Linked DNA regions of Canis lupus familiaris. The protein of the gene in region 2 purifies or fractionates together with the protein of the main gene of each other region. This does not show direct contact. Links are inferred from orthologs where the notes say so. Each region holds a gene or a part of one and is shown on either strand. Other genes may lie near its edges.

The links.
Region 1: the proteins of RABGGTA (region 2) and CHML purify together in Homo sapiens (co-immunoprecipitation; 3 studies listed by BioGRID and IntAct, counting the BioPlex papers as one, with this or other methods). This does not show direct contact. The link is inferred for Canis lupus familiaris from reciprocal best matches to the Homo sapiens genes RABGGTA and CHML.
Region 3: the proteins of RABGGTA (region 2) and CHM purify together in Homo sapiens (co-immunoprecipitation; 4 studies listed by BioGRID and IntAct, counting the BioPlex papers as one, with this or other methods). This does not show direct contact. The link is inferred for Canis lupus familiaris from reciprocal best matches to the Homo sapiens genes RABGGTA and CHM.

Annotation. Positions count from the first base shown.
Region 1 is NC_049228.1:32,967,063-32,971,140, forward strand, and holds CHML (rab proteins geranylgeranyltransferase component A 2), read right to left. Parts: upstream 2,831-4,078; 5' UTR 2,802-2,830; coding exon 846-2,801; 3' UTR 63-845; downstream 1-62. UniProt on the Homo sapiens protein: Substrate-binding subunit (component A) of the Rab geranylgeranyltransferase (GGTase) complex. Binds unprenylated Rab proteins and presents the substrate peptide to the catalytic component B.
Region 2 is NC_049229.1:4,373,610-4,377,726, reverse strand, and holds the start of RABGGTA (geranylgeranyl transferase type-2 subunit alpha), read left to right. Parts: upstream 1-1,311; 5' UTR 1,312-1,444; exon of another isoform or gene 1,445-1,536; intron 1,537-1,754; 5' UTR 1,755-1,808; coding exon 1,809-1,811; intron 1,812-1,970; coding exon 1,971-2,081; intron 2,082-2,450; coding exon 2,451-2,575; intron 2,576-2,761; coding exon 2,762-2,949; intron 2,950-3,191; coding exon 3,192-3,395; intron 3,396-3,705; coding exon 3,706-3,789; intron 3,790-3,876; coding exon 3,877-3,959; intron 3,960-4,047; coding exon 4,048-4,117. UniProt on the Homo sapiens protein: Catalyzes the transfer of a geranylgeranyl moiety from geranylgeranyl diphosphate to both cysteines of Rab proteins with the C-terminal sequence -XXCC, -XCXC and -CCXX, such as RAB1A, RAB3A, RAB5A and RAB7A.
Region 3 is NC_049260.1:66,851,604-66,855,251, forward strand, and holds part of CHM (rab proteins geranylgeranyltransferase component A 1), read right to left. Parts: intron 3,301-3,648; coding exon of another isoform or gene 3,275-3,300; exon of another isoform or gene 3,256-3,274; coding exon 3,095-3,255; intron 1-3,094. UniProt on the Homo sapiens protein: Substrate-binding subunit of the Rab geranylgeranyltransferase (GGTase) complex.

The DNA.
Region 1 (4,078 bases), on a different chromosome or scaffold from region 2:
ACCTTTTCTATATATATATATATATATATATATATATATATATATATATTTTTTTTTTTTTTTTTTTCTCTTGACCTGAATTAGTTGTTGGAAGTTCTTTTCTTTTAGGTGCCAGCACAAGGCTCTGCAGGAATTTTCTGAAGTATTAAACCAGAACTAACCTTACCCTTAGATTTCCTTTGGGACAAACTTTCCAAGAATGAGCTCTTCAATGACTAGATGAACTGTCCAACACTTTTTGTAATACAGAAGACTGGTGGTGTCACTGCCCTGCTGCTTGTAAGGGTCAAGTAGGGGAACTGAACTGCACAATGTGTTGTAAACACTACACCTTCACAAATAAAGGATCATGCAAAGCTAATCTTTTAACACTTGGCACTTGCATAAGTTGCTATTGCTACCACCATGTCTGTACATTTGTATTATATACAAAAGACCCACATAATTTATTCTGTGTGTTTAACTATTCAGACATGGTAGCAACTGTAATAATTACAAAAATAACTAAACTATTCCTTAGATATTATTGTTTTTATAGACTAATAAATCTGAAGATCATTAGCAGACATGTATTACCTCCCAGTACGCACAGTTGCTAATTTGGAACCCACACTTATATACTCAATACTAAAATAGAGCTAACCTTGTCCAATAATCAATCAATCAGTTGCTGATAAGTTAACAAGATCCCGTGACTGAATGTCTCAAATAGAAGTAAAGACAACATCTGCATAGCATTCATCATATAACCAATTCTTATTAATCACATAGGAAATGGTTCTTTAAATGAAAATATTCTGATGTCAGGATGAAGGCCCAAAAGAGCATTTCCAGCTTGCTCCTTTCTAGTTTTGAAGGTGGTTCTCTGGGCTTTCTGGGTTTTTATTTTCCTCAGAGGAGTCTGGTTTGGCCATGATTATATTATTGGTTCCAAGAGCCTCAGGTTGCTTATCATCACCATCAAAGATTATATCTTCTGGATTTGGAGGTGGGGGGCAGAAGTCTTCATTGGGAAAGATCTCCTGGAAAAGTGTTTCAGCTTGCTTGACTGCGTGCTCATTTCCCAGTCCGCAGTCAGGCCCAGAGCAGACATAAACATTGGAAGGTAAGCCATTGTATGAGCTTCTGCTGATTCCCGAGGAATCTCTCATATTAAAATAAAGAGCCCACAAGAGTCTTGGCTTTGTGAGTTCTTCCTTGTCTATTTCTGTTTCAGTATATGGGGTGAATAATTTCTTCACTACTGACTCTAAGTCTTCTCTTGCTGTTTTAGAAGATGAACAGGTCAGATGTACCAGATAGGTGTCTTTCATGCATGTCATGGTTGAAGAACATAATTCAGTGACACGAACAGCACATGTTCCTGATTCCATTGGAGGCACTATCAAAATGGAAATTTGCTGATCTGAATCTGCCTTCTTGAGTATAGACTGATCTGTAATGAGCACTGCCCTGGAGATCTGCTTATATTGCACATTTGAGCATGTTTCCTCAGAAAGGTAACTATCCTCCACAATAAAATATTTAGCATTTATTCTTTGATCTAAGTGATCTATAATTGCTTTACATCTTCCAGATTCTTTGTCAACTATAAGGCATTGAACTTTATGGCGAAGACAATAGATTCCACCAAAAACTGCACACATCCTGCAGAAACACTGGGGAATTTCTCCTTGGCCATACAAGGGAAATAAAAAGGGAGTGTTGCCAAACCGTCCAAGACACCGAAGGAAGTTTTTAGTTGCTTTAAGGCCATCTATTGTGGTGCAAGAGGACTCTGTCATTGCAATTGAGTGCAGCACAAAATGTTGGAGGTTGGGGGTTAATTTTTTAGTTTTTAAGTAATCTGAAAATGAGCAATGCACAAAAGCTTGGTATTGATCAGGATGTTGTTCATAGTCTAAACAAAATGTAAGAAATTTCATCAGTATCCTCTTTTCAACCATAGTGAGTTCTTTGCTATTAAAGACATCTGCTCTGGAACAAGGCACCTGTTCTACTTTTCCCTCGCGAAATGCAAGAATCCTAGTGACGTTTTTAAATTCTGCATAACGACTAACATTTGATTTGATTAAAAGATCGATTAGCAATCCTTGAGAATACAGCAGCTTTGATACCAAATCAATATTAAATCTCCTGCCTTCTTTAACTATTTGAGAGTAAGTAATCCTATTTCTCTTTGGTTGATCAGTGTTATCTTCCTCTATAGGTTTGTTTTCATCTTTATCTCCACCTGAAGCTGTGTTTATACAGGTTTTATCTCCACAACATTTTTCTTCTGCCAAGATGTCCTCTACATCAGTTACTTCCAGTGAAATCTCTTCATCACTTTTTGGAGTGTCTTTGGCATGCGTTTCAGAGCTAGTAACATGTAATGAGTTTGTTTCTTCGGACAAGCACACAGAATCCAGAGGTTTAGATGTTACTGCGGAAGGATTTTTCTGCAGAGCACTGATCTCTTCAATATTGTCATCCATATCCTGACTGGCATAACAGAAAACTTCTATGTGTTCAATGGTTTCATCCTTCTTGCGAAGAGCAATGGCTTCTTCTGTTTCATGCACCAGGCCTTGCCATGAAGCAGTGCTTTCTTCTGCATTGTCACCGTTTTGCTGATGCTCCTTTAACCAGGAGAGCAATCCCGAAAAGCTGAAACTTGCCCAGTTTCCTCCATAGTAACTTCTTGAATCAAGATGAAGAACTCTCTGACCACTTCTTGAACATGCAGCTGCCAGGATGGATTCAGGTAGACCTGTCCCTATTATGACCACATCGAACTCTGTGGGAAGACTGTCCGCCATTCTGGGAGATAAAGGGTCTGGTGACAACCGTCGATAAAAGAAATGTATGTGAGTCAAGGCTGAGGGCTCAGCGGAGGTGTGAATATGCTGTAATAAAATCTCTCCTTGTGATACTCCAGTTCATCCCAGAAGTCCTGAGGTTGCAGGTCCTAACTGTTTAACAGTTACCCTTTCTTAATATTGTTTTCCTTATAAGTCAGTAGCATAAAAATAGGTAAGGTATATCTAATCACATCTGAGAACACTAAAACGGATGTGTGGTTTTCATTCCTGCATTTCATCTTAGCAGTAAATGTCAAAATGCATCACACATGCATTTGTGACTGGAACTCTTCTCTGAAAGAAGAAAATTCAAGAAAGAATACAGTTGTAAACAATATTAAGAGAAAAATAATTTCATGCAACAGCAATTACAATTACTCCATTGGAGTCTGACTTGTTATCAAGACATAAGCCTCTAGGAAAGCAAGTCATTAAATGCTTTCTTACATATTTTCTAATTTCTCAAAAATGGACAAAAGAGATTTACCCCCAAAAACACGCAATAATGAGGAAGGGACATCATGATGTCCCATTAAGCAAAGGATTTCCATAATATAATTCTGTAACTTTTGCTTTTAATAAAATATTTGAACAAACTATACAGAACTGTGAGCTTAGACTGTAAGAAATGTGTGGTTCCGCCGTGTTTATGGAAACAGACTACATACTATGTGCACATTGTCATGATGAGGAATATTTCTGCAGCCAATTTAGCCTGTGGGTGATTTTAGAACAGTTGAATGAAAGATATTTCCATGCCACAACCACCCTTAGGATCTCGTGGTAGCATCATGAGACCATTTCAACTGAATTAACCAGCCAGATTATTGCAAAAGGATTAATTCATTAAAACAACTGGCATTTCGAGATATTTAGGTGCAAACAGGTCTACTGAAGGAAAATAGGCATTTTTAACAAATCTTCATATGAATGTACATATGCACATGTATTTTTTTTAGGTTTAAGTTAAAACAGAAAATTCCTACCTTTGTAAATTAAAATATCTTAACATAAAAAATACCTACTTCTAAAATCCAAGAGAAAAAAAAAATCCAAGAGAACATAGGGTGACTTGCATTTTGCCAGACTCTGGCTCTATGACCTTGAATCTCTGTATCCCAAGATAAAGGCCTGTCTCAACATCCTCTGCTAAGATTAACACGTTCTTTGCTGTTTTTTGAAGGGATAGGAGGTAGCAGTGTAGAAAGGCTCTCCTGTTAACTTCTGGCATAATA
Region 2 (4,117 bases):
TAACTAATAAGTGGTATGACTCTTTCCTCACTAGGACCACAAGTACACAAGGCCAGGAAAAGTGTCTCTTTTCCTCTGTGATTCATTATAGGGCCTAGGAAAGACAGACTATATAGCGGGCACTATACATACATTTGCAGAGCCTGAGAAAGATGTGGAAGAAATATAAAGAATTTAAAGCCATACTTTCTTAAATGTGAGCTATAAACACAGGGCACATGGACACACACTTCTCACAAATACATCACATAGGCTCAGTCACATATACACACTCACTGGCCACCTTGAACCCCAGGAAGGCTCTCTAGGAAACCTTCCTGAGCTGGTCCAGGAGCCACAGAAGGCTTTAGGCAGAGATGTGATATGATCAAACCTGCATTTTAGGAAAGCTGATCCAGCAGCACAGATGATGAATTTATAATGGAGATGACAGAGTAGAGATTGGGGAAACATTGAAAAGGCTTTCAACACACAGGGAAGAAATGAGCTTGGATTCTAGTGCAGTGTTTAAGAGTTACTACAGAAATTTGGGGAGAGAATAGTGCCATTCCCTATAGTAGGAAACATAAAGGCCAAAGTTTAAGAATGGATGGAATACAGTGAAACCTTTTACTTTAGGAGGCTCAGATGTCTCTGGAACACCCAGGTGACGACGTCCAATAGGCTGATGAATGTGTACATATATATGTTCATTTTTACAGCTCACAAGACATCTGGGCTGGAGACACAAGTTTGAGTGTTATCAGCTTACAGGGAGTAATTAAAACCATGACTGTGGATGAAGTCACCCAGAGAAAGTGTGAGGCCAGAAAAATCTGTGGGTCCAGGACAGAGCTCTGGGGAGCTCCGACTCCAAACGGGAGAAGGCTTGGACTTGTGAATGTTCTCCCAGGAATAGCGTGTGATGTGAAAGGGGGTGAGGAAAGGGCCCTGGCGATCACCAACATCTACGGAAGAAGGTGCACAGCGAGGAAGAGCGGTTCAGAGGCGCAGGAGAAGCCAGGAAAGGTTGTCACGCGGCAGGAAGTCGGCTACATAAAAGCTACAGACAGGAGACTCCACCCGTTCGATGTGGCAACTAGGAGGCGGCCACGGTGCCCAGAGTGATGTCAGCGGGATGGTGAGTGCGTGAGCCCCCCGCTGTCTAAAAAACTGCAGTTTGAGCAGCTGACCAAACGCAAGGCCCGACAGCTCCCACGCGCGCTGCAAAGCCGCGCATGCGCACTCGGAGGCACCAGCGGGCTAATCACAGGGCTGTGGCCTCTTGGGCGGGGACGGGCGCACGCGCCTCCCGAGCCCGCCTACTCCGCCCACGGCCCCTCCCCGGCCTGCAGAGGGCGCTGCGCCTCGGAGAGCCGGGCGTGGAGCCGCTCTAGCCTACGCCCGGGCTCGGTGGCGGGCGCCGCAGCTCCGCGCGCCCCCCAGACACCTCCCCTCGGCGCAGGTGGGTCCGCCCGCGGGGGGCGGGAGCGCCCGGCATCTGCGGGTGGGCGGGTAGCGGCAGCCCGCGGGCGCGGAGTGGTCCCCGTCGCTCAGGTGCCCTGGCGTGGGTCCGGCCCGGAGGGTCGCGCTGCGGCAAGGCGGCACGGGCGCGAGTGCCGGTCTGGGTGGGCGCCTCCTCCCGGACAAGCGCTGCGCGTCCCGGGACCCGCTCTCGCCGGGGTCCTCGGCACAGGCTCGCGTGCGGCTTCCGGGGACCAGCTGGGGGCGGGGCTAGCGGGCGGGGCTCCCGTGATTGACACTTCTCTCCCCAGGTCTCTCGGGCTTTCTCTGGACCCCTCCCCTGTCCTGAACCCTGAGCCGGCACCATGGTGAGAACCGTCCAGCCCCTCACCTCCGCATGCCCGCGGACCGCGTAGCCTCGCCTCCGTTGCCCTCTGTATAGCTAGGGCTGCGCCGTCGGGGGCTCGGGGGTCTGCCCCTGCGAGGCAGCCTGCACCCCTCCAACCCCGCCCCCGCGATCCTTGTAGCACGGGCGCCTGAAGGTGAAGACCTCGGAAGAGCAGGCGGAGGCCAAAAGGCTAGAGCGGGAGCAGAAGCTGAAGCTCTACCAGTCAGCCACCCAGACTGTCTTCCAGAAGGTGGGGCCCTTAGGGGTAGCCCCTTTTCCAGGTGGCCTCTTAGTATAGCACAGAGGCCAGGAGCTGGGCCTTAGAGTCAGACTGCCTGGATCTATATCTCGGTTCTATGACTTACAAGCTAAGCTGTGCGACCTTGGGCAAGTCCTTGACTTTTTTTAAGTTTCAGTTTGCTCTTCTGTAAAATGGGCCTTACTGCATAAAGTTGTTGTGAAAATTCATTGAGAGGATACCCAGAAGCCCATAAAGCATTCTGCGTGGTACCTATTGTGTAGCATGTGTTTACAGAATATTCAGGAGTTCTGATTATTGCTACTTAACCTCACAGTAGGAGAATGATTTGATCTCTGACCCTGCTGCCTGTCTTCTCAGCGCCAGGCTGGTGAGCTGGATGAATCAGTGCTGGAACTGACAAGCCAGATTCTGGGAGCCAACCCTGACTTTGCCACCCTGTGGAACTGTCGGCGTGAGGTGCTTCAGCGGCTGGAGGCCCAAAAGTGCGTAGGAGTTCAGGGCCCCAGGAAGATGGTGCTGGCCCTGCCCTGCCTGGGTCCAGGGGTAGAGGAAGAATGGGGCAGCCAGGGGTATAGGCAGAGGGTAGTGGAGGGCTGGGTGTAGAAAGGCAGAGGTGAGCTGAGGTTGAGTGCTGGAGGGCCCTGAGTCCCATTTCCCTCTGGGTGCAGGTCCCCCGAGGAGCTGGCAGCTCTGGTGAAGACAGAACTGGGCTTCCTGGAAAGCTGCCTGCGGGTGAATCCCAAGTCCTATGGTACCTGGCACCACCGCTGCTGGCTGCTGGGCCGCCTGCCGGAGCCCAACTGGGCCCGGGAGCTGGAGTTATGTGCCCGCTTCCTCGAGGTTGATGAACGGAACTGTACGTGTCTGCCTGCTGATCTGCCCTGCATTCTGGTTACTGGGGCCTCAGGAAGGCCCAGAGTTGGGAGGGATGGCCAGGATGGGCCTGCGAGCTGATGGCAAAGGGGCTGATGGAGACAAACCAATACCCTGTAGAACACACATGGGAGTTTCTTGAGGGCTTCTAAGAGAACTTGAGGGGTTCCAGCTATGGAGCTCCCCTTGCCCTACTTCTGAGATGTGCTGTCACTGTTCCCCTAGTTCACTGCTGGGATTACCGGCGTTTTGTGGCCGCTCAGGCAGCTGTGCCTCCTGCAGAGGAGTTAGCCTTCACTGACAGCCTCATTACCCGAAACTTTTCCAACTACTCCTCTTGGCATTACCGCTCCTGTCTCTTGCCCCAGCTGCACCCCCAGCCAGACTCTGGACCACAGGGACGTCTCCCTGAGGATGTGCTCCTCAAAGGTTAGCAGGGTCAGAGGGTGCTGGGGCAGACTATGGTGCTGTCTTTCCAGCCTTGTTACCTAACCCTGTTCCTGAACCTGCTGCTTGGGCTTATTGAGCACCTACTTTGTGCCTGGCTTTGGGGGTGTGTAAGATTCAGCCCCAGGCTGCAGGGAACACAAGTGTCCAGTGGGAAAGATGCAGCTGCTGTGCAAGGCCAGCAGATAAATGGAACCGAGGGCTGGCAGCACTCCAGGGGGAGGGTGGGATGCTGGGGTGGCCAGGAGCCACCAGGGTCCTGGCCATAGCCCATGCTCCTTGGCCCCTTCAGAACTGGAGCTGGTACAGAACGCCTTCTTCACTGACCCCAATGATCAGAGCGCCTGGTTCTATCACCGCTGGCTCCTGGGAAGAGGTGAGCAGTGGGGAAAGAGGCTGGGTCTTTAGGGTTTTGAAAGAACAGAAGAGGATATAAGGGGAGCTGAGTTTGTGTCTTCCCCAGCTGACCCCCAGGATGCCCTGCGCTGCCTGCACGTGAGCCGAGATGAGGCCTGTCTGACTGTCTCCTTCTCTCGGCCTGTCCTGGTGAGTCCTGCAGCTTTTCCGAGAAAGCATCATGGATGTGGGTCTGGTGCTGTGGGGCTGACAGGTCTGTCTTTGTCCCCTGGGCCAGGTGGGGCCCAGGACAGAGACATTGCTGCTCATGGTGGACGAGTCACCCTTGGCTGTGGAATGGAGGACCC
Region 3 (3,648 bases), on a different chromosome or scaffold from region 2:
AACACAGGGCTCAATCTCAGGACTCTGAGATCATGACCTGAGCCAAAATCAAGAGTTGGATGCTCAAGTGACTGGACCACTCAGGCACCCCAATTCCTCTTGCCCTTTTAAGCCAGAAGTTAGCTTAAAGAATTTCATGTGGTTAAAAAAAATTAAAAAGGCATAATTATATTGTGACTTGGTTTCTTTATATTGGGAAGTATAGAGAGGACACACTGAGCTACAGAAGAAATTCCTATGTTTATTTAATATATATCTACACAAAACAAAAAAATATTTTGTCAGTCTAGCAGTTTAATGTATTTAGGATGTATCCACATTAACAAGATGAAAGTAGCACAGTACAGATGAATGTATAAGCCCTGGGGTCTAACAGACTTGAGTTTAAGTTTTGGCTCACAAATCTACGAGATCTGTGATCTTTGGACAAGTTATTTAGCCCCTTTGGGTCTTAGTTTCCTCATTTGTAAAATGGGCATGTCACAGATACTGATGTCATATGTTTGTAAGGACCAAATGAAATAATATATTTATGATGTTTAGGATATTGTCTAGTACACAGAAAACACTCAATGAATGGTAGCTTTAGAAAATGTGACACTTAAAACTGCCCTCTCCCTCAATGGCATGAGAAAGTGAGTTATACTGCAATATGTGAGCAACTTGATAGGTCATATGATCTATAAAAAGAGTCTTCAACTTACAAATTCTGTACCAAAAGTTATAAACAAATTGCTAATATGCCATAAAGACAACATTCTAAATGGTGGTTAGGCTGCTCACATCAGTAAATTTAAACCATTTTATAGCTGACCTTTAGTACAAAGAGTACATACATTACTATATAATTATTCTTGTTCTCATGGGATGGCACCTCCTAGAGGATGGGGGCTCCTGAAGGAGGAGTGAGCTATCAGTGATCTTGAGAGTAAAGAACTATAGACCAGTCTGTTCATCAGTATGTGTGAGTAAATGGGATACTACCTGTATTAAGAAAAGAGATACATCGGTTTCAGGAAAAAAAAAAAAAACCTGGAGTAACAAGCTATAAAAACTAGCAAGTCACAGAATCACAATTATCACTTGGGCTACTTAGGCTAGCATCATTGTGGTGATAATAGAGAATGTCTTGGTGTGCTCCTGCACACAACTTTAACTCGTATAACACAGATCACTTTATATTTTTAGTATGTTTTCAAATCAAATAGTTCCATATGAACACAAGGGAGACAAGTCTATGCTATTCAACATCTATATATCTACAAATAAGAAAAATAGATGCAAACTTGCTAATTGGTCAAATAAAGTATTTGTTAAAAAATAGAAATCTGCAGGTGGCTTATGTTTGCTACACAGACAAAGCCTAGGTGATGCTCTAAGAACTTTTATAGACAATCTGGAAAACAGAAGTTATCAATTAGTAACTAGGCTAAACACAGGATGAAATACTGAATTAGAACAAAGCTATATAACAACTTGAAAACTATTCATATTTAATAGTATATAATTAGTATCAAAAGTAGCATTATTATTATTTTGTACTATGATAACACTGAAGTCTATCTCCTTGGGAAGCAAATTATCTCATAACAAAATTATCCTTTAATTTATAGCCTTTTAGCTGGTAGTTTAGATCACATTAGAACTTGAATAATAAGCTCTTATGTGAAAAGCCTTCCCATTTTGGTGAAAAAACACTGAAGTCCACTCAGGAAAAAAAATGTCCTACACAAGGGGGTGCCTGGGTGCCTCAATTAAGCATCCTACTCTTGATTTCCACTCAGGAGATCAAGCCCCGCATCAGGCTCTGTGCTCAGCAGGGAGTCTGCTTTTCTCTTTCTCTCTCTGTGCTCAGGATCTCTCTCTAAAATAATAGATCTTAAAAAAAATCACCTAGGCTATCTGGCTGAAAACATGTCAGCAATTCTGCTTGGAAAAAACTGGAACATCAAAGCAAAAATGCCTTGGTCATTTTAAGCCATAAATGTAGAACTCGAACCATCTTGGGTTCCTATTAAACTAATAGAATGAATGATGGATGACTCCCTACTTTTGATATCACTGGTTGAATAGGATTATCCAGGATCACCATTAAACTCTGAAGATGAGAAACAAGGAATGAGACAAAAAAAACCTATAGATACATGGGTTATGGCCTTGCCAGTACAACTAAAAATTAAGTCAATGAAGCCATTTGTTTCCATAAGATCCCTAGCACTAGTTGGATTGAAACTTCCATCTGTGGTCTTAAAACAATGTTAAATTATCCACTTTTTGATTCAATAGACAGATATGCCAATTCTATCTGTGAAAAGTTTAGATTTGTGCCTCAAAAAATATATTTTCTGTTCTTCTCTGTCAGGTACAGAGAAGTGTATTAATACATATACACATGGATCTTCATCTGAATGGAATCATAGTTCACTTTTGGCAGCTTGTGTCAGCCTGTGCTGTACCAGTTAATAGCTTTGCCCAGAAGTGCTATCACAAAATTCCACCTTGATTTAACCTATTCCTCAGCAGCTATGATAGTAATTTTTGGGACACCAGCTTATGTCAAAACATTAAAGGAATTGTGTTAACTCTGAAAAACTGTAAGTTACGTGTTCTTCTGCAAAATAAGAAAATGCTTTAAGACAATTTAAAAATTACATTTTGTATATAATTAGTTACACTCCTTTTGAAATGACTCAGAGATTAACAAAGAAAAACAGTGTATTTCAAAATGATAAAACAATAGGCCAACAGTTTAAATTAGAAGCCATGTTCCTTTAGAAAACTGGCATTATAAATTTTATTTTTCAGAATATATATTTTTAACATCTTTCATCCTTATTCCCACAATGGAACTCATAAATGCTCTCCTGCAAATCCATCATATAGTCAAGAACATGAAAATACTGAAGACTATATTTTAAGTATAAAGAAGCTTTGTCATTCACAGGAAAAAGTTCGGAGGCAAATTACAAAGATAGTATTAAATGATAGACAGGCTCTTCTAGTCTTTTTTCCCCACATTCTAGAGGAAAAAACAATTCACTTTCCCTACCAAACCAACTTTTCAACACAAAACTGAGAAACACCAACAGCTTACCTGTTTGACTGCATTATCATTTCCTAAACCACTGTCTGGGCCAGAGCAGACATAAACGTTGGATGGTAAATCATTATAAGAGTTCCTGCTGACGTCTGAAGAATCTCTCATATTGAAGTAAAGAGCCCATAGAAGCCTCGGTTTTTCAACTTCTTCATTTTCTAAATGTAGACATAAATTTTACTCACATCTAAAGCACAATAAACCTGTCAATTAATACAATTTGTAGCCAATTACTAACAAAGCCGTGATTATATAGTGTAGTAAATCAGAGCTTTGTATGTAAAAAATAGCAAATCTTTATCCACACCCACTCATACATGTATATATTTCAAGTACTGATGGCTTTTCAACCTAAGACAAGTTAGATATCAAAAATTATTTTGATCACTAGTAAGTTACTTAGATATAACTCCAATTGTGTTCTCTTGGATTTCTATTACTTCTACATAGCAGTATCAAAGTGCTTCTGAACACATTCATCCTTAAATTATACCACTGAATAAGATAATAATTTTTTGTTTTATATAAACAAACCAGCTTAAAAAATTATA